Rhinolophus ferrumequinum: one gene and its partner. Each later gene encodes a partner of the first gene's protein in a complex. Links are inferred from orthologs where the notes say so. Each region holds a gene or a part of one and is shown on either strand. Other genes may lie near its edges. The genes, in order: CACNB3 and CACNG1.

Region 1 (9,862 bases):
ACCCCTCCCCCAAGGGGCCTATCCTGGAGGAAGGCCATGTTGGTGCCCGGCAACCCAGCCAGGGGAGCAGTACCCTGAGGATGTAGGGGTGGGGTCTTTGGTAACCTTAGCCAAGAAGAGTGTCTGAGTCCTGCCCATTGGCAGGTCTTTGGGCAACGAGGGTGCATTTGGAGGGTTGCAGAGCTCACCTTCAAGGCTGTGAGAAAGACGTACAATTGAGTAAAGGAAGCTGGATCTTAGGACAGGAGTGTAGAAGTCAGGATGTCTGGGTGTCCCTCTCAGCCCAGGGAAAAGGGGAGCTTTTGTTTTCTGCCTCAGTTTCCCCTCTTTATGATCAGAGGCCTGAAGTAGCACTTCCATCAATTCTGAGGTCCAAGTGGCAGAGACAAATAGGAGCCTAGTTCGGGTCCATGTGGGAATGTGTGTGTATTAACAGAAGCGGTTTTAGGATATTCTCAACCTGAGGAACATTCCTTCAAGTCCGCGGTGCATGAGCACCTACAGAAGGCAGCAGAGGCCAGAGGTCAGTGGAGAAGACAGATTCAAACACCTGCTGTCGCCATGCCCTCTGCCCCAGTCCCACCATAGGCAAGAAGGCAGGTCAGCTTGATATCTGCCCAGGCTCTAGATCGTAAGCTAAAGTCAATGTCTGGGGTAGACGGAAGACACAAAGACAGCACAGGTGGGAAAGTCTCCTTTTACAGAGGAGGAGATTCTGCCTGCTGTTCCTCATCTCTCTTGAGAAGAAAATAAGGCTGGCTTGGCAGTAGGATAAAGGGTGCTGAGCCCCAGAAAGAACCTTTGCATTGTTAGTAGAGTGTGGGATCTCCTTCCAGGGGTCTTAGATGTATGAGGGGTCTTAGATGTAGGAGACAGCTGAACGAAGGGAACAGGGGACAACAGGCCAGGAGGCAGGAGGTAAGGCCGGATGATCATTCACTTTGATAAGTATCCATCAGATGCCTCTTAGATGCCCTGACCTGTGCTGGAAGAGGAGTCTGGCCTTTATCTCGGCTCTCCAGGCTCTCAGCCTAATTTAGTCATCTTAATGTCCCTCCTGGGGTATCTGGGTTACCTGGCCTCTCATTCTAGGATGGGAAGGATAGAATCTCTCCCTAAATGTTTAATGAGTCAGGTTCAGAATGGAACCCCCTGTCTATTATTCCCAAGTCCTCAGAGTTCACCATCTTTCATGCTCTGGTATCACTTGGGGAGGTCAGGGCTGCCCTTCCAGGCCTACTCTGGGGTCTTGCCTTCCCTACCCCACTATGCCAGAGCAGCCAGAGGCTCAGTACTTTGGAGCTGCCAGGAGTTGGCACAGTGCCCTAGTGGTGCCCCCCTTGCTTGGTGAGTGTGTGGGCAGGCTGCAGCTCCACTCTTGCCTGGCACGGGGGAAGGAGAGGAGGGAGATGAGCCAGTGGCTTTATTTAGAGCCTGATCTCCCTCCTACTGCTTCAGAGGGGGCCTCAGGGAGAGCAAGGAGCCAGGCAAGAGAAAGGGAAGTTGGGGAGGGTGATCCAGGGCCCAGAGAGGGGTGAGAAGTGAGCAATGGGTTAGCGGGCTGCCCCCAACGCCACCCACATGTCAGTCTTTCCCTTGAAACAGCTCTTGCCTTACTACCAGTGATGGGAAGAATCTTCTAGGGCCCTCCAGCCAAGCAGGAAGGTTTGTTCTCAAGCTCACCTTGGCACCCTGGGCCATGCCAGCTGTCTCTTCAACTGTCACAAAGAGGTGTCCACCAGAGCCTTGAAAATCATCTGCTCTAGCTGCCATGTAATTAGGCCCAGAGGCCCAATGGGGAATTGGCCCAGCAGGAGCCCAGGAAAGGACTGATAGCTGCCTATTCTGAGCCCTAGAACTCATCTATCCTGGGCTGGGCAGCAAGAGATGGGAGAAGACTCAAACACTCCACTTTCGATCCTGGAGTGCTCTACCCTCCACACCTATCAAGGACCCCTTCCAAGCCATCTAGTGGTCCTCTTCTAAGGAGGCCTTCTTGCAGGATGTTTGAGAGAAGGCACTGAGAAGCTGCTCCCCATCTTTGCTCCATCCTTCCAGTCACTCTCCATGCTCCCTGAGCTCCGGGAATCACTGACTAATGAGCTGATTTGTCTCAGTGGGTCAGGAGATAAAAGCAAAAAGGAGAATTAAATATTTATCGGTTGCCTGGTTCTCTGAGCAAAGAGCTTCCTCTCCATCCCCAGGCCCTCAGCTCCTCTGGCTTCAGCTCCAGGTCCTCCATGCTGAGAGGAGCTCAGGGTGCCTGCTGTTCTGAGGATGCCTCAGCAGGAGGCACGGACAGGATGGGGCTCAGTCAGCTGGCCCACCCATGTGCTGGGTGCCCACTTTGCAGCCTGGGAGAGAAGCTGGGCTAAAGGCAGGGTGAAGAGATGAGGCAAGCTCAGGATGGAAGGGGGAAGGAATAATGGAGGTCTTCAAGTTTTGTGATCTTTCTGTCTGAAGAGGCTGGTACCCGATTCTCTGGTGTTCTCTCAGGCTCCCTAAATTTGTCCTGTATTTGTGTCATGGGAGGTCTGGATTGTCCCTCTCCCCAAGAAATTCAGCTTCTCCTCTGAAAGCGGTTGTGTTCAGACCCGATCAATCCACCTGTGGGAACTTGAGACATGTCGTGTGCCCTTTCTAAAGCCCCTGTTCCCTCAGTCTCTAGCCCTTCCTCCCTCTACCCTCTGTTCTGGGCTTTGGAGCCACTTGCTCGAGCCTTCCCCTCACACTACTCCCTCCCTGCACACACCCCGAGCTCCTTGGTCTAGGATTGGGGTACCGAAGAGCCCGCGGCACGAAAATCATCGCCCCAATTTCCTGGAGCGCCCCCAACCCCCCGCAACGCTCTTCCCCGCCACGTTTTTTCAAAGTCCTGGACTGGGAGAAGGGTCCAAGGGAGAGCAAGTGTCACCCCAACTTCCCCACCCCCACCCTCATCGTGGGCACTCACCGCCTCCGAGTCCTCAAACCCGGGCACGTAGGAGTCGTCATACATGGGGGAGTCCGGGTGGGGGGAAGCGAGCGGCGCCGGGGGCGGGAGCGGCCTGGAGGCAGGGGCGAGGACAGCGGGCCGCGCCCGATAGATGCCACCGAGCCCCGCAGCCCTGCGGGCGGCGGCGCAGAACCAGAGAGCGCGAAGGAGGGAGCGAGCCGCGAAGACCAGCTGCTCGGAGCTCAAATCACCGCTTACCCCCACCCCACCCCCCAAACCCAGCCAGTCCCACCCCGAGCGCGGCTGAGGAATCTGGCGCTGGCTCCTACAACAATAGTGCCCGCCCACCTGACCCCCCTCCCCGGGAGCAGGCGGGGGCGGCGACTGGGGCGCCCGCCACCCGGGGAGCCCGAGACCCGGCTGGGAGAGGGTAGCGGACGGGAGCTGGGTAGAAGGTGGGTCCCCCAGCACCTACGGACCCGAGGGGCGGCGGGGAGGAAGGGGAGGAGAGACAGGGCGGGCGGATCCAGGCTGGGAGAAGGCGGGGCGAGGAGAGATGCGGAGACTGAGACGCTCGGCAACCCAGGAAATACTCCGCCGGGAAACAAAGGGCTGGAGCGGTGGAGGGGAGGGGGAGCGGAGAGGCGGAGGGAAAGGAGACCCGAGCCGAGAAAGAAGCGGGCGCAGGTTATTGGGAGGCAGAAGAGGGAGAAAGGAGAGATAGAGGCAGGAGACAGGCGGGGGAGACAGGAAAATGGGGAGACAGAAGAGGCGGGGCTGGGGCAGGCGCAGACGGGGGAGGGGCCCCAGGTGAGCGGGAGGCGTGTCTGGGCCCTGGCGGTCCCTGAGACTCCAAAAGCGAACCCCGTAATGGCACTGGGGAGGAATGGGTTTGGCGACTCCACGTCAATGCCACGAAAGTAGCTCCTGCCACACCAGGTGCTCGGCCCTCTCATTGCACCCTGCAGCAAGGGGCCGTGTCGCCCAACCCGTGCAAAAGGGCAGGTTTTGGGTCCGGCCGCCCTACACCTGGTGCGCAGGCAGATTTCATCCTAGTCTGGCCAGGATGGGGGGTTCCCTTACTCACTTCCTCGCCGAAGACTGTGCCAGGCATTGCCAAGGCACCCGTGGGAATTGGGACAGGGAGGGGCTGTCTTAGGTGAGCCTAAGGGACCGGGAAAGAAACCAGAAGGTGGAGGTAGGGGGATTGTGGCTGTGACAGAAGGTGGGGTCCTGGACAGACTGGGGTCGGGAGGGGGAAGGACAAATCTGGCCAGAGTCATTAGCTTAAGGCCAGATTTTCTCCTTAGCAAAAGGATGGGGTTGGAGTGGCCGGTATCCCCGTTGTAGCCACAGGTACCACTCTGCACCAGTCAGTCTCCTTTAAAGGAGCATTGAGACTTGAGGTTAGAGACAGAGCAGCAGCAGCCCTTATTTTGAGCCAATTTCCCCAAAGATCCACCTATTGGAGCTCCCTCCTTTTTTTCCATCTCCAGAGCAAAAGTATTCCTTTGAATTTTGACTGCCTATGGGCCCCCCTCGCACCCACCACCTAGAGGGGGATGTGAGATGACAGAAGGTTACCACCTGGAGAACTTCGAAGCTCAATCCTTCTCCATTCCCAGTTTTTCACCCCTAGGAGGGTGAATCAAGAATCTACTCATCCCTTTACATTCCTGGGCTACAGTGGAATTAGAAAACCAAAACTGACAGGGTTTGATGAGACCTATGGGAGAAAGCACTGTTCATGGGAGAGAAAGACCATCCAAACCAACTGGCTTCCTACTTATGTCACTTGTTCTGTTGGCAAGAAAAAGAGAGAAAGGGCCTACTCTTAAGACCGTCTTTAGTCTGCCTTCAGTCTGTCTAACCCTGTGAGTGGTGTAGTTCAGCCCTGCACAGCCTCTTCTTCCTGCTGGATCTGGCAAACAATTTTGTTGGAGCCCCAATGGCTGAGGGGACCAATCACTACTGGGAGAGGCAGTCCGCTTTCCCAGTTCCCTCTCCTGAGTCCAGCATCATTTGGAGGTTGGTCATATATTGGACTCTTCTGTCTTGGAAGTTCCCAGACACGCTGTCTTCTCACTTTTGTTTCCTTTCCCAGTTCCTCAGAATCCCTATATGCTCCTTTTTTATTCTCTGCCTCTTCAATTCCTTCCGTTCTTCCAGAGGGGCGAAAAGAAGGCATGAGGTGTAAGAGAATATGACCCTCAACGTGCCCTCTCCTGGGAGGTAACTCTAATGAAGAAGACAGCTGCTGAGGCATCTGCTTCTCTCCCCATCTTTGAATCCACTCTCCTGGCCTCTCCTTTTGGGAATCCCCACCACCAGGGCATCCCAGGGACTGTAGGTAACAGTGGATCTGCTATGAGCTTCATTCCTTCCTCACACAACTTGTTGTAAAGACAGCATCCCCATACAGGACAATGGTGTCTAAGTCTCCTTTGGTCTCCCTCCTGAAGCATCTGAAGCATGAGTTGCTATGCCAACCACCCCCAGGAGATAGGTTCAAGTTCCTCTTACCTGGGTCCATCCCCTGGGTCTCACACGGCTTCAGAGCCTCTCTCTCTCCCTTATCTCTGAGTTGCTACTCAATACCCCCTTCCACTTCTCACCTCACCCACACCTGTCTACTCCAGTTTTCATGCCAACCTAGTGACTTTCTGTCCTGTAAAAAGACATGTGCCTGTCAGTGTCTTGTGGCCCCTAACCCCTTTTCTTTCCCATGACTGAGCATAAGGGAAGAGAGCTGAGGAAAAAAAAAGGAAAAGAAAAACGGATTCCAGGAGAGGATTCCTCCTTCCCTCCTCTTATTAGGAGAGAGCTGTTAGACTGGCAGCTAGCAGGTACCCAAGGCAAGGAAGCAGGACATAGGAGGAAAGCCTGAATAACCAGGTTTGGGAGTTGGAGTTTTGGGAACCTCTAGAATACTTTCTAGCTTCTCCTATAAGTGTACCAAGAAGCGGAGCAGATTCCAGTCCCTGATCATTGAATGAGGAAACTGAGGCAGGAGCTAGGACCTCTGGGAAGTCCTCCACAGCAGTCTATAAGATCTGGACCAAACCAAATATCCCAATGTTCTAGCTGCAAGGCTGCCCCCAGGGAACCTGGGGAGGGTTGGGTGGGGGGAGTTTGGCAGAGCCCTCCTCTCTCTGTCCTCTTTTCTAGCTCCCCAGTCAGTCCTCTCCTATCCCAGTCCCAGTGCTTCGAGGCTGCCAGCTCTGTCTGCTCCTTTTTTTCTTACCCCCTCATTCACCCTTAGCCTCACCTTTGGTTTCCCTCCCTCTCCATCACTGCAGTCTCCCCCAAATACGGCCCTTTTCCTAGCTTGGAGTGGGGCTTTTCTCCCACCCCTGGGGAGGGGCCCCCCCCCCCCGTTTACCTCATTCAGCAGGAAGGTTGCACTGGAGTCAGAAAAAGACATAGACCGGACTAGCGGCCTCTCCCCCTCCCCGGGGCCAGGGGCTCCGAGGCGGGAGCAGGACCCGGCCGCAGCTCTGCACAAGGGCTGCTGCCTGTACGCCTGGCCTCGCCCCACGCCCGCCTGGCTCCACCGCCTGCTCCCTTCCCTCTCTCCAGGTTCCCTCCCCCTTTCCTCTTCCCTCCCTTCCTCCCTCTCTCCCTTTCTCGCCTTCTCTGTCACTCTCGCCCTCTCCCGTCGCCTTTCAGTCCTGCTCTCTCCATTTCCGTCTCATCTTCTTCCTCTCTACGGTTCCTGTTCTCTGTTTATCGGGTTGCCTCCCACTGTCCTTCCATCCATAAAGCTCTCATCCCTTTTCCGCCTGCCCACCCTCACTTCTTCCTCTATCCCCTCCCCAGAAAAGGGACTCAGGAATTCCCACCGCCGCAGGCAGAAGGGCGTGAGTAGCTCAAGGGCTGCCCGACTCTGGAGCTTCGGTCAGAAGGTTCTGATCCCCTGACCCCAGCTCGGTGCTCCCACGCCCAGCCTCCAGCGCCCGAGAAAGGAAAGCACCCTGGTCCCGGTGGCGGCTCCGACCGACCTCAGCAGAGGAATGGATCGAAAAAGAACGCTCATGTACTGCTAGCTAGCCCCAGCGTCAAGGCGCCCCCTCTGGATTTCGGGGAAGCCACGTCCATCCGCCGTCCCAGGCCCAAACCCGGTGGCTCCTGCGGGATCGAATTGGAGACAGTCTAACCAGGACGCGCCCGGCGCCTGGGGAATCTCTACCGTCACTGCTCTCTCCTAGGTGCTAGCGCCGCGGGACTCAGCCTGTGAAGGCAAAGAGTGAGGCTTGGCGGCTCCTCCCCCACCGGCTGCAGCGCCCCCTGGACTCACTAGCCGGGTGGCGGCACAAGCCCTCCAGGTGGCGGCACCGGCCCGGGGGTCCTTTCTGTCCGCAGGCAGGAGTTCGGCCCTACCAGTAGGAGGCGCTGCCCTGGCCGGAGCAGAGGGTGCGCAGCTCCGAGCCCGACCCCCACCGAAGCCCGGGATAAACCTCTCTCCCTCGCGTCTTTCCAGGAGCTGCGGTCCCATTTCCAGACCCCTAGTATGGAGACTCCAGGCTGCACTCTATTCCCACTCCTGTGGGGCTCTTTTTAGATACTTGGTCCCCCTGGAGCTCTAGATCCCTCCTACCTCCATCCTGGTCTCCAGAGGCGACAAGGCTGAGCCTGGCAGCGTCCCGGTAGGGCCAGGCCGGGCGGCCGGGAGTACACAGTCGTGGGACGGCTCCTCGGGTCGGTACCCCTCCCGCCCCCTTCGGCGGGCACGTCAAACAGGACAAGCCCAAGTTCTGGCGGGGGAAGGGGGGAGCAGGGGTGTATCCCCAGCCAGCTCTCTCCCTGCACCCTCTGAACGGATCAGCCTCTCATTGGTTCCTCCACACCCCCAGCACCCCGATGCTGGACTCTTCTCCATACCAAAGAGGACGGCTAGGGGGCCGGGAGGGTGTCGTAGATCCCCTTGTGGAAACGGACACACCCTGAAGCTGAATGACCCGGGTCCCCAACTTCTCCTTAGCACCAGCTAGAACTCTTTCCTTTCAGGTCCAGGGCGCTTCACTGCCCTCCTCGCCCTTTTAACTCCCTTGCCCGGGTGGTTCCTGGTATCCCTCCCCTCAATCCTCCTATACCCTGGGGATCTTGGAAGACATCCCTCCCTCTGTGTTTAGCTGATCCTCCAATTGCCCTCATTCCAGAGGGAGCTAAATTGGGGGAGAATTAATTCTCCTCTCCACCCCCAGCTCCTCCTCAAGCTGGACTTAACCGGGAAAGCGCTTTGGGAAGTCACTTCCCTCCCTCTGTGGTGTAGTCCAGTGAGTCCAAGGATTCCCCTACCACCTACCTACCCCCAAGTCACTCAGCTTCAACTATTCAGACGAGACATAGAGGTTGTGTATGTTTTTGTAAAAATGTGCATAGAGGTTTTTATGTTTGTTTTTTGTTGTTTGGTTTTTTTTTTTTTTTTTTTGGCTCTAATAGAGGGAGCAGAAGCGTTCCCTTTCATTTGGCATTAAGACCTGAAGGGAGAGAGCCCTCCCTCCCCCATACTCCCCCGCTGACCACAGCTAATGGACTAGCTCTTCTGGGCCTTGGGGCAGCTTTAGTTTCCATAGGAGAAGGGGGGTGGGGTGGGGGGTGCTGGCCAAGTCAAGCAATTGTCCCTGGCTTCTCCCTCCCTCCTTCCTTCCCTCCACTCTTTGAGAACCTACAGCCTAGAACACCATCTCTCTCCACTCCTTTCTTTAAAATAGAAATATCAATGACTTCTCTCTGAACCTATCAGAGGGAATCTGAGGTGAATAGAGGCAGCTCTGCAACCTTCACTTTTTCTCATTTTCACTCCAGCTGCTGGATCACACACCCCTCTCCCTTCTGCCAGGAAGAGAAGGTAGGAACCTCAGAGCTAGAGCTGGGAGCCCAGCCCCCAGGTCCCCAGAACTGTCCTCTCTTAGCTGGCCCCCCAAGATCCCCCCAGATGACTGGCAAAAACAACCCTCTTTGGGCTCTGTCTGGGACCCACACCCTTTTCCTCCCTGCATTTTCTCACTCAGGTCTCCATCTCCTGCTGACCTTACAGTATCTGTCACCCTGCTAAGAGGGGCCTCTAGCCTGCACACATTTCTGGGAGCCATACCTTAGTGCTGGCCCCTTCAGGTCCTTAAGCCAGCATATGGCCCCTAGAGCTTCCCAGGAAGCCTTTATCCCTTCTCTCTTGGGATCTCCCTCTCTCTGGGAGGTCTGCTCACCCTATTCTCTGACCTCCCAGACCCCAGGTTGTCAGGACCTCAGGATATTTGGCAGGGCCTCTGCTCACGCTTTGGGCCAGTCTTTGTGTAGACCCAGCTCTGCACCAGCTCTACAGTTAGGTTTCAATCCCCGCTTAACCTCCTCAGCAAGGCATAACCTGCACGATTGTACTTAGTGGCTTAGCATTTGAAAATCTGTATACTACAAGGACAGAGAACAAAAATTACCATGTCCATCCTTTGTATCTATTCCACTGAGACCAAATAAGTTCTCCCCGGCTCTTCTGAGCAAGCTTGGAAATAGCTTCCACAGGGAATCCCCATTGCCAACTCCAGATATTACTTTGGGGAAGTTCCTCCAACATCAAACCTCAATCTCTCCTGCTGCGATCTCTCTCTCTCTTTTTTTTTTTTTTTTTTTTTTTTTTGGGGCTCTGCCTCTGGGCCCATGGTGATATTTGATCCTTCTAGGCACTTTCAGGCTCCATCCCCTGACGCAGCATTTGCTATAAATATGCCTGAAGAGCTTCTTGCTGACAATGCCCCACAAGATTGTACCTTCCTTCCCACACCAGGCCTCTCTGGAGGCACTGGGCTCTCAGTTACGGTTTCAAGACCCATCTCTTGCCCACTCTGGGGCAGGCAGTGTCACTGCTCTGTGGATTGGGGGTTCTCTGGTACCTGGGAAAGAGGGAAGGTGAGAAGGCTGAGATGCTTG
Region 2 (9,954 bases), on another chromosome or scaffold:
GGAGGGACTGCCCAGGGACCTTAGAATCCAGAGGGGCAGATGGGGCAGATATACCTGATACAGATGTTTTTAAACTTGCAGCTTCCAGCAAAACTACCAGGGCAACCTCGGGAACAGAAGTATGATATCAAAGAGGGTTAGGGACCCACCTCCTTGTGCTTACAATTGCAGGAAAGGGGGCTTGGAGGGACCTCCATCCTGACCTTCGTCCCTTGGTATGTTTCCTTGGAGATACAGTAACCCCTGCGGGATCTCCAGAATTCACAAATTAAGTTATAAATAACCAGATCATTTTAAAAACAATATACTTATGTTTTTTAAAAAACATTATACTTATTTTGTTAATTCTAAAAAGTATTACAGCTTACCTAAAAATACATGAAAAATACAGCACAGTTAAAGAAGAAAACAATGTCAGCCATCATTCTACTACCCACGCCATAAGCACGGTTAACATTTCAGGGTACCCAAATGTGTGTGTGGATACGGCTTAGTCCCCTGTCTCTGTCCACTGTTTTTCATCATGAGAATCTTCCCACCTTTCAATATTCCTCAAAACCATAATCTTTAAGGGCTGCATAAAACAGAGATATCACCATTTATCTAACGTGTCCTATTGCCGGATGTGGCTTATTTGCTCCCTAGATCATAAATGGAATCTGAATGAGAACAAAGTACTGGGATACTCAGGATGCATCCAGTTAAGATCTGACAACTTCTCACTGTGATCTTCTGGTCCAGATTTATGCTAGAGGCTGATGGAAAGATCCCCCTCCAAACACTGTCAGGATCTTGTCTACGTTCTCACCTGGGTGTCTGGGCTCTGGGGATAACAGTCGCCCCTCCCACACTCCCTGCCAGGTGGCTAGGGAGCAACCTCACACCAGGTTCCTCTCAGACGGCCTTACACTTAGCCATCCTCAGCCACACAGAACAGAATTCCTCCCAGTCACAGACTGCATCTGTTAGTAGGGCTGTGTAACAAATTACACCAAACCTTAGTGGCAATAAACGAGTATTAAATATGGTCACAGAGTCTTACCTCTGCCTGATAGAAAGACAGGCTCAGGATGGCTTCTCTCTGCTCCAGAGTGGAGCCTCGGCTGGAAGGCTCAATAGCTAGGAGCTGGCTTCATCTAAAGGCTCGTCTGCGCACATGTCCTGCAGGTGATGCTGGTTAGTGGCAAAGTCCTCAGCCTGACTATGTACACGTGGCTTCTCTGGGTGGCCTGAAGTTCCTCACAGCATGGTGGCTGGGTCCAAGGGCAAGGGTCCCAGAGCAAGAGAGAAAGGTGGCAGTCTCAGAAGTCACATAGCATCACTTCCTCTGTACTTGACGTATTAGAACAGTCAAAAACCTGCCCAAGTTCAAGGGGAGAGGAAATAGGTTCCACCTGTTCATGGGGAGTGACGAGGTTCTGGAAGAACATGTGGGAGCAGAAATGGTGCTGTGGCCACTTTGGGAAGATATAATCTGTCCCCCTTGTCTCTCCAGGACCCTCACCTGGCTCTAGGCTTCTTCTCCACCCTCCAACCTTTCCATCCTCCATCTCCCTCTGGAACTCCACACATCTTAAAATCTCCTTACTGAGGTCTCCCTCCACGTGCTGGGATCAATGAAACTATCCTCTCTTCCAAGGACACTCCTTTCCCCAGTATCCTGGTGAAAGCTGTCCATATTTCTGCTGGGGTTCCCTGCACAGGTTCCCAATGTAATGCTCCTGGCTGCCCAGTCCCAAGAGGTGTGGGGCTGGAAAAGCAGAAAGGGGATCTGAGGGACCTTAGGATCCAGAGGAAGACTGGGGCAGATACACCTGATACAGATATTTTTAAACTTGCAGCTTCCTACAAAACTGCTGGTGCAACCTCAGGAACAGAAGTCTGCAATCAGAGAAGGTCATGAACTCACGTCCTTGGATTTATAATTGCAGGACAGGGGAAGGTGGGGGCGCTGATACCGCCAAACCATCACTCCTCCCCCCTCCTGGGGAAAAGCCTTCTCTGAGGGCCTGGGTAGACCATCCTGAACCCTTTCTCATCACTGTCATTTCCCCAACCCCGTTCCGCCCACACCTTTATGTTCATCAGGAACTTCGCATCTAGCTCAAAGCCCTCTTCTGCTCCCCAAGTCCTACCACCATCAAACTGAGCCACATCAACATCTGTGGGGCCGGCCATTCCAACTCCCTGGCCTCACAGCTCTGCCTTCTCACCTCCCTTGCCCTTCATCTCCAACCTGGATCTTCTCATCAGCCCTGACTGTCCCCCCTGTAATCTTCAGGGCTACGTCCTCCTCTCTGACCGCAACTTCCAGTGCTCCCATTTCCTTCACCACTACAGCTGTTCTCCAACCTCATCAAACCCTTCCGGGCCTTGACCTCTCAATTTCCTCCTAATATGTTGACACCTCCTCGTTGCCGGGCATCCTAACCAGCCCAGACATGGCAAGTCATCATTTAAACTCACCCTTGCCGATGCCCTCAGTTCCCTTGGGCCCTTTTCTTTCTATCTTTTCTCTCCTGAAAGAGCCTCAGCCCTCTTTCAATCTCACCTTCCATCTTCCCCATCCCTGCACCTGAGCTAAGAAGTGATGCCAGAGAACATCAAGCAAGTTCAAAATCGATGCTTGTGGTAGACAGAATAACGGCCCCTAAAATGTCCAAGTCCTAATCCCTGGAACCTGTGACTATGTCACTTGACACGGCTAACGGGACTTTGCAGGTGTGATTACATTAAAGACAGGGAGGTTTTCCTGGATTATCACCTTAACCACACGGGTCTGTAGAAGGGAAAGAAGAGGGAGGCAGGAGAGTCAGAGATGAAGATGCGATGACAGAAGCAGAGGTCAGAGTGATGCGATTAACTGCTTTGCAAATGGAAGGCTTCTGGACAGAGGCACCGGATAGAATTGGAGGCAGCAAGCCTGATGCAACAGAGAGTCCCAGATGAACAGTGACAGGAGGCAGAGGGAGTGGAGTAAAAGGTTGGGACCAATTGGGTGGTGCCTTGCTTTTTTATACAGGATCTTAAGATCAAACACGCAAGGCCATTTCTTAGCCCAATTAAGCCTGAGCTCAAATTAGATCAGCGTATCGCCAAAGAGGGGTTACTGGGCCCCCACCCAGGCGTAACCTGGTCCTAGCTCTGAATGAGGCCCACCTCTGGGAGGTGTTTTCTTTCCCCTAGTTATGTCTGGTCCTTCTTGGGAAAAGATTAGTCACTTGGGATAAATGGAAACGGGTTCATCTGAATGAGGAAAATACAGACAATTACCAAATTTCTCAGTGTGGCACATCTACTTTGAAGATAATGTCCTATCTCAGGAGGCTGCTGTGACAGGCAGGCAGAACTTGGTCGCAGAGGTGACGACAGTGCCTTCCTGGGGTGTCCCTCTGCACCTGGAGGTAAATTAGCCATTAATTCAAGCTGTCCCGGGGCTCCGTGTGGCCTTAAGCTACATAGAAATGTCCTTTGGATCACCCAGTGGAGTAAATTATCTAAGCTTCTATCTCCTTCTTCTTTCCATCCATGAGTCCATCATCCATCCATCAGTCATTCAACAAACATTTATGGAGATCCCATCCTGGGCTCAGACCTAGGGGGCTTCTCTAAGGGGACCCAAAATGAATACATAATACGGTCTCCCCGTCTCTATCTTCCCATCAGAGAAAGCTGATCCATCTGCAGTCTATCGATAATAATAACAGCCATCCTGGATCAGTTGCCTACTGTATTAGTCAGCTCAGGCTCCCATAACAAAATACCACAGGCTGGGTGACCTTAAAAACAGAAATTTATTTCTCACAGCTCTCCCTTCAGTCCTAGATCAGGGTGCCAGCCTGGGTGGGTTCTAGTGAGAGTCTCGGCTTTCAGCTTCTCACTGAGTCCTCACACGGTAGAGAAAAAGAGAGAGAGGAAGCCCCCTGGTGGCTCTTCTTAGAAGGACACTAATCGCATCACGGGGCCCCACCCTCATGACCTCATCTAACCCTAATCACCCACCAAAGGCCCCGTCTCCAGATACCATTACACTGGGGTTTGGGTTTCAACATATGAATGGGGGGGGGGCGGATAATTCAGTCCATAGCACCTACCACAGGCTAAACTGATAAATCCATTATCTCTACTCCTACAGCAGCTCCCCAGCCAGCTGCCATTGCCCTCATTTTATAGATGAGGAAAGGGCAGTTTAGAGAGGTTAATGGCTTGCTGGAAGCCATACAGCTAGAGATTGGCAGAGCGGGGACCTGACCCTGGGGCTGTCCGTTCCATCACTGGCAGGCTGACTCCCAGTCCCTAAGAAGCCATCTTTCCTGATGACCTGGAAAAGGTAGGACCTGTGTGGAGGACGTTGACGTCCCCCAGCCCTGGCTCCCAGCAAATGCTGGAGCCCCCTTCCTGGCCCAGCAAGGCCCTGGGAAGTGCCAAGCGAGCAGCCTGGCAGTGGCTTCCACGAGCAGAAATGGTCTGTTTGAAGGAGCTTTTAGTAAATGAGAGAGAGAAAGGAGACCTGCCTGCAGTGCCTGGCACTGCCAATGCCGTGGGAGATGTACAGCCCGACTACTTCTGAAGGAAGAGACATCAATCTTTCCTGGCTGGGTTGGAGGACTCAGGACCCCTGCATGTGGCACAAACCTGCCCCCCACTGAGGGAAGGTGCAGCCTGGCTGTCTGAGGAACCTGCAATGTGGGTGCAGCTGACACTGCGTGGACCCCGGGTGTCGGGCCCCCACCCGGAGGCCAGGATTTTGAAGCTCAAAGCCCTGGCCAGCTCAGGGGTTTATTTGTGGCTATGCATTAACCTCAGATACACCCCAAAAGAGGCACCTGGTGAACTGAGGAAGAAGAGGCCGAACCCAGGAGGGGTGTAGGGGCCTGGAGACCAGCCTGGGGGTCATGTGGGCAGACAGGCCCTCGGATGGTGGTCCCAAACTTTCACGTCTTCTGCTGCCTCTGCTCACCCATTAGCCTCACAGTAGTCACCCATAAATCAATCTACTTCTGTTCTTTTTTACTTAAATGTATTTATTTTGTAAATGGAAACATAACTGGAAAATCTTTATTACCTACAATTAATAGAGGTAAAACTAAAACAGTAAAACCAAAACAGAACTACAGTCAGGTCCCGCTGGATTCCGTGTCCTCTCCACGCTTTGATTTGCAAGTGTCAGCAAGGTGGTAAAGACTTACTAACCCTGAACGGGGCTTCTCTTCTGGACCAAATAGGAGAGACGGGAGAAGGGAACCAGAAATAATGTTCTCAGGCTGGGCAGTGTCCGGCCACGCCAGGCCCAGGAACCACCTGAAATCTTCCTGCCGTTTGGGGGATGGCATAGGCCTTGAGCTAAAGCTCTTGCCTGAGTAGTGGGCTCCAGAGGCCCTGGCGGGGCGGATCCCCAAGGTGTCCCTAGGCAGGATTGTGGGTCCCCCAGGCCTCCCGGACAAGGACCCACTCACCCTGCCCAGTGTGATAACCGAAAGCTGTGCCACCGTATCTCCCAGGGTCCCCTGCCCTCACCCAGCAGTGCCCTTTCTCCTTCAGGCCAGAGCAGGCAGACTCCACACTGAGTCTCCCTGTTGCTTATGCCTCACTCCCTCCCACCTCAGGTGTCCTGAGCTGCCACTCATTGTAGGTCTCCAGTCACCATCCAGATCCTTCCCTCCTTGCCCCTCCCTGGGGTATTTCTGGCTCCGTGAGAGGAAGACAGCCCTGAAACCCGAGAAGAAGTCATCCTCGGTGACGGTGGCGTGCCTGTCCATGTGCATTAATAGAAGCCTCCCTCAGGCCCCTGTCACGTCTGGGCAGCTGCTCAGCCCCGTCCAGTGTCCCTCTGCCCCAAGGCCAGCCCACTCTGGCTCGGCCAGGCACACTAAACTTAGCTTCCACCTCCTGCACCATCACTGCTGCCACCACCCCAGCCTGGCTGCCACCTGCCCAAGGAGACGCTGCCGCCGGACTCTGTCCAGAGTACACGCTCCTCTGCGACCACCATGTCCCAGATCAAAGCCCTGAAGATCCGCGCCACGCTCTTCTGCATCCTGGTGGGCATCGTGCTGGCCACGGTGGCCGTAGTGACCGACCACTGGGCTGTGCTCAGCCCCCAGGTAGAGCACCACAACACCACCTGCGAGGCGGCCCACTTTGGCCTCTGGCGGATTTGCACCAAGACTATTGTCATGAGCGACAGCAAGGACAAGAGCTGCGGACCCATCACCCTGCCTGGAGGTAACGTACCCAGTCTCTGTCCCCTGTCCCTGCTTCCTGCCCTTTCCCACCCCCCTGGAAAAGTGGCCAGTGGGAAAGAGGGTAGGTTTTCCGGCCTTAGAACAGCCCTCTGCGTCCGGGGAAGAGGATCTGAATTGCATGAGGTTGTGCTGGCCGCCAGAGTTGGGCTGTAAAATGAGGGCATTTGTCTCTCACTATTTCTGTCTTGCTGAGGCTTGGGGCTTTTTACCCAGAGCAGAGGGCTGCTCAGGTGGGACGAGAGGCTCAGGAAAGGAACCATGGACCTGCCAGACTAGGGGCTTCTGGCCCCAGCGGCAGTCACTTTTCTGGGTGTGCCTAGCTCCACTCTCTCCGTGCAAGGACAGGCTAGTGGCCCAATGTCCCCAGGGAAGGGACCTGTGGGGCTGGCTTGTTTCTTCAGGGTATAGAGGCTTCTTTCCCAGCCTCCAGGGTATAGACAGGATCAGCTGCAGAATTTATAGGGCCTGGTGTAAAATGAAAATGCAGGGCTCCTTGTAATTATTTTTAAGAATTTCAAGATGGTGACAGCAGAGCATGAAATCAAGCCTAGGTCCCTTCTGGGTGCAGGGCCTTCAGTGACTGACTACACAGGTCACACATTTGTGAAGCAGGTACCTGGCTATAGATGAGCCACCTGCCTTTTAGTCAGAACTGTCGGTCCTTCCATACATCCTCTCTTGGCTCAGACCCCTTCAGAGTTGGAACGCATTTTCTTCCTCTATAATATAAGCGCATTCCTCGATGTCCTACCATGTGACCAAACGACACGCTGAAGGTGAATTCCTTCTCAATAATACCTGGGTGGGGTATTCTGCAAATTAGGTCTCTTCTGCAAATGTGGAACCCTCTGCACTCATAGCAAATAGAGCACATGCCGAGGGAAGAACGCTGCTTGGAGAATCAGAGTCCAGGGCTCTAGTCATACATTGACCATAACCCCCCCAAATGACGACGGTGGGGTGGGGTGGGGTGACAGCCCATCACAGCCTCTGGCTCCTCCTATGGTGCTTGGGGTCAGCAACATGAAACCCCTTCCAGTGCTTACAAATATCACTCCAAGGCGGCAGGGCATTTGGGTGAGTGTGGTGTCCCACCTGGTTTTCAGAATATTTCCTTCTGTCATTCGACTGGGTGTTCCTTGAAACCTGCCCTTCTAGGAAATCAGTGCCAAGTCTGCACACATCTTGCACTGTATGTGTGGGACAAAGGAACCCAAACCCTGTGCCTCCCTCTTCCCTCCTTCGTCTTCCTTCCCCTCCTGCTGGCTCCAGGGAACTCCTGCCTTGCTTATTCCCACCGGATACTCGCAAGACTTGTAAATACCCAGCTGTCTTGGAAACATTGCGTCCCAGGGCTGAGGGCTTTAAATGACATGAACATGCACTGGAAGGGTATCACATAGCTCAGATGCCCACGCCCCTCGGCCACTGCTGAGCACACCCGTAAACAGATGCATTATCCAGCCAACTCAACTGGGCAGGGAAGGGCAGGGCAGGGTGAGGCAGATTCTCCAGGGACCATGCACGGAAATGCACTGATATGGTCCTGTCCACCTGTCCTTGGAAGCACCTGCCTTTTAAAGTCTGGTGAGTGTACAGAGCAGATGAGGAGGGAGGTGAGCTAAGTCTATACAAGGAAGAGACAGATTGGTGGGAGGTGACCGAATCTGCCACAGGGGACCAACAGGCATGGCTTGGCCTTGAACCTGAGCTGAGTCTATCTCTATGCCTTCTCACTCTGATCCAGAGTGAACCATACTACTCGTGAGCACTGCCTTACCCCAAACAAGCTTCTGACATGCATCCCTGCCTTCTTCCCTTTCCCTTTTCTCTACAATCTTCTTTCTTCCCCAGCCACCCTCCCTGTGCTCTATGGGTTCACTGTTTTCTAGATAGATGAAAAGAGATCACACATGTTCTCTGATTTATTATTAACAACAACGATAATAATAACAACTGCCAACACAGACAGAGCAGTTATCTGGAAAACATTGTTTTCAGTGCTCTATAGATATGAATTACGAGAATATCAGAGAAAAAAAAATGACAGAGTAAGAACCTCCAAAAGTCCTCTCCTCCATAAGAACAATGAGAACATTGGCAAAAATGATCAGCATAAACTTTTTCAGAACTCTGGAAATTAATCAGTCTTGCAGCAATCCAGCAGTGCTTATTCTAGAGAAACGGGTGAACCTCAGTAAGAACAGTGAGCTTTGTGGTGTTTTAACTTGCTCTATTCTTATTTCCACCCCACCCCCAACTCTGTCACAGCGTTGACAACCCCCAGCCTGCAATCACAGTGAAAACCAGCAGCCTGGTAGCCAGCCATCATCAGAGGGGACAGAATGGGCTGGATCTCTTCCAAAGTGTCATTCCCAAAGAGCGGTCATTATTTGATCCGTCTGGTGATTCCCTGCAAGTCCCTGTTTGCAAGGCTGTCTTTATTTGACCTGACTCTGAGCTCCTCCAGGGGAAACAGTCTTTTCCCCGGGCGGGGGGAGTGGGGGGTCATTTGTCAAAAACAATTAGAAACAATTATTTAATATCACAACTGCCTGAGGCAGTAGGTAACAGTTAGGACAAACGATAGGCTAACCAAATAGCTGGAGGATGAGAGATCCACAGGTGGCTTTGAAAAGTTTGGACAGATTCCTTCCTGGGCCTTTAGAAGGCCATGTGTAGGCACAGTGCTACGTGAGAGCGTAGGAAATACCTGAGAAGCCACCCTGAAGCTCTCAGCTCGGACGCATCCTGAAGCTGAACAAGCAGAACGTGAAGGCTAAGGCAGAAATGTAGACTGCTTCACCGACTGCTCTGCTTAGCACGGAGCCCCTCAGTAAAGACTGGGTGATGTATTAGTTCCAGGCATTTTAGGAAACCTCTGTGAGCTGAGCACTAAACTAACTGAGCAGAGATTGTAGTGGCAACACGTGACAAAGAATATAGAATTTACAAAATTAATTCAGAAAAATCACTAAACAAACAACAGGAACAAATGGAAACAGGAACAAACCCTGGGGAAGGGTGGGAATCTGATTTCTAGAGTTTAAACAACTCTGTTGTTTAAATTGTCCAGTTTTAAATTTAAATCTTAAAAAAATTATAAAACATGCAAAGAACTAAAAAGGGATGGCCCACACATAGGGAGAAACAAGCAGCCCATAGATCCTTAAGGAAGCCCAGATATTGGACTTACTAAACAGAGATTTTAAATCACCTGTTTTAGATACATTCAAAGGACTAAAAGAAACCACGTCTAAAGAACTAAAGTAAAAATAAGAATGATGTCTCATAAAACAGAGACTCTTTAGAAAGAGATAGAAATTATTTTTAAGTGACCTAATAGAAATTCTGGAGTTGAGAAGTACACAATAACTGAAATGAAAATGTTCACTAAAGGGGTTCAATAAAAGACCTGAGCAGGCAGAAGAAAGAATCCATGAACTTGAAGATAAGTCAAGTAAGATGAGCGAGTCTGAGGAACAGACAGAAAACAAAGAATGAAGAAAAGAGAACAGAGCCTGAGATACCTGTAGGGCAAAATGCATAACATGTGCACAACGGCAGTCGTCTCCAGGGAAGGACAGGAGAGAAAGAGAGGAGCAGAAAAGATAGATGAAAAATAATGGCCACAGTTTCCCCGAATTTGATGGAAAACATTAATCTACAAACCCATGAAGCTTAATGAACTCCCAGTAGAATAAAATGA

What was found.
Region 2: CACNB3 (region 1) and CACNG1 share a complex: the UniProt entries of both Homo sapiens proteins name them as parts of the calcium channel complex. The link is inferred for Rhinolophus ferrumequinum from reciprocal best matches to the Homo sapiens genes CACNB3 and CACNG1.

Annotation. Positions count from the first base shown.
Region 1 is NC_046293.1:49,937,739-49,947,600, reverse strand, and holds the start of CACNB3 (voltage-dependent L-type calcium channel subunit beta-3), read right to left. Parts: upstream 3,670-9,862; 5' UTR 2,999-3,669; coding exon 2,954-2,998; intron 1-2,953. UniProt on the Homo sapiens protein: Regulatory subunit of the voltage-gated calcium channel that gives rise to L-type calcium currents. Increases CACNA1B peak calcium current and shifts the voltage dependencies of channel activation and inactivation.
Region 2 is NC_046304.1:43,755,295-43,765,248, reverse strand, and holds the start of CACNG1 (voltage-dependent calcium channel gamma-1 subunit), read left to right. Parts: upstream 1-5,789; 5' UTR 5,790-5,990; coding exon 5,991-6,225; intron 6,226-9,954. UniProt on the Homo sapiens protein: Regulatory subunit of the voltage-gated calcium channel that gives rise to L-type calcium currents in skeletal muscle. Regulates channel inactivation kinetics.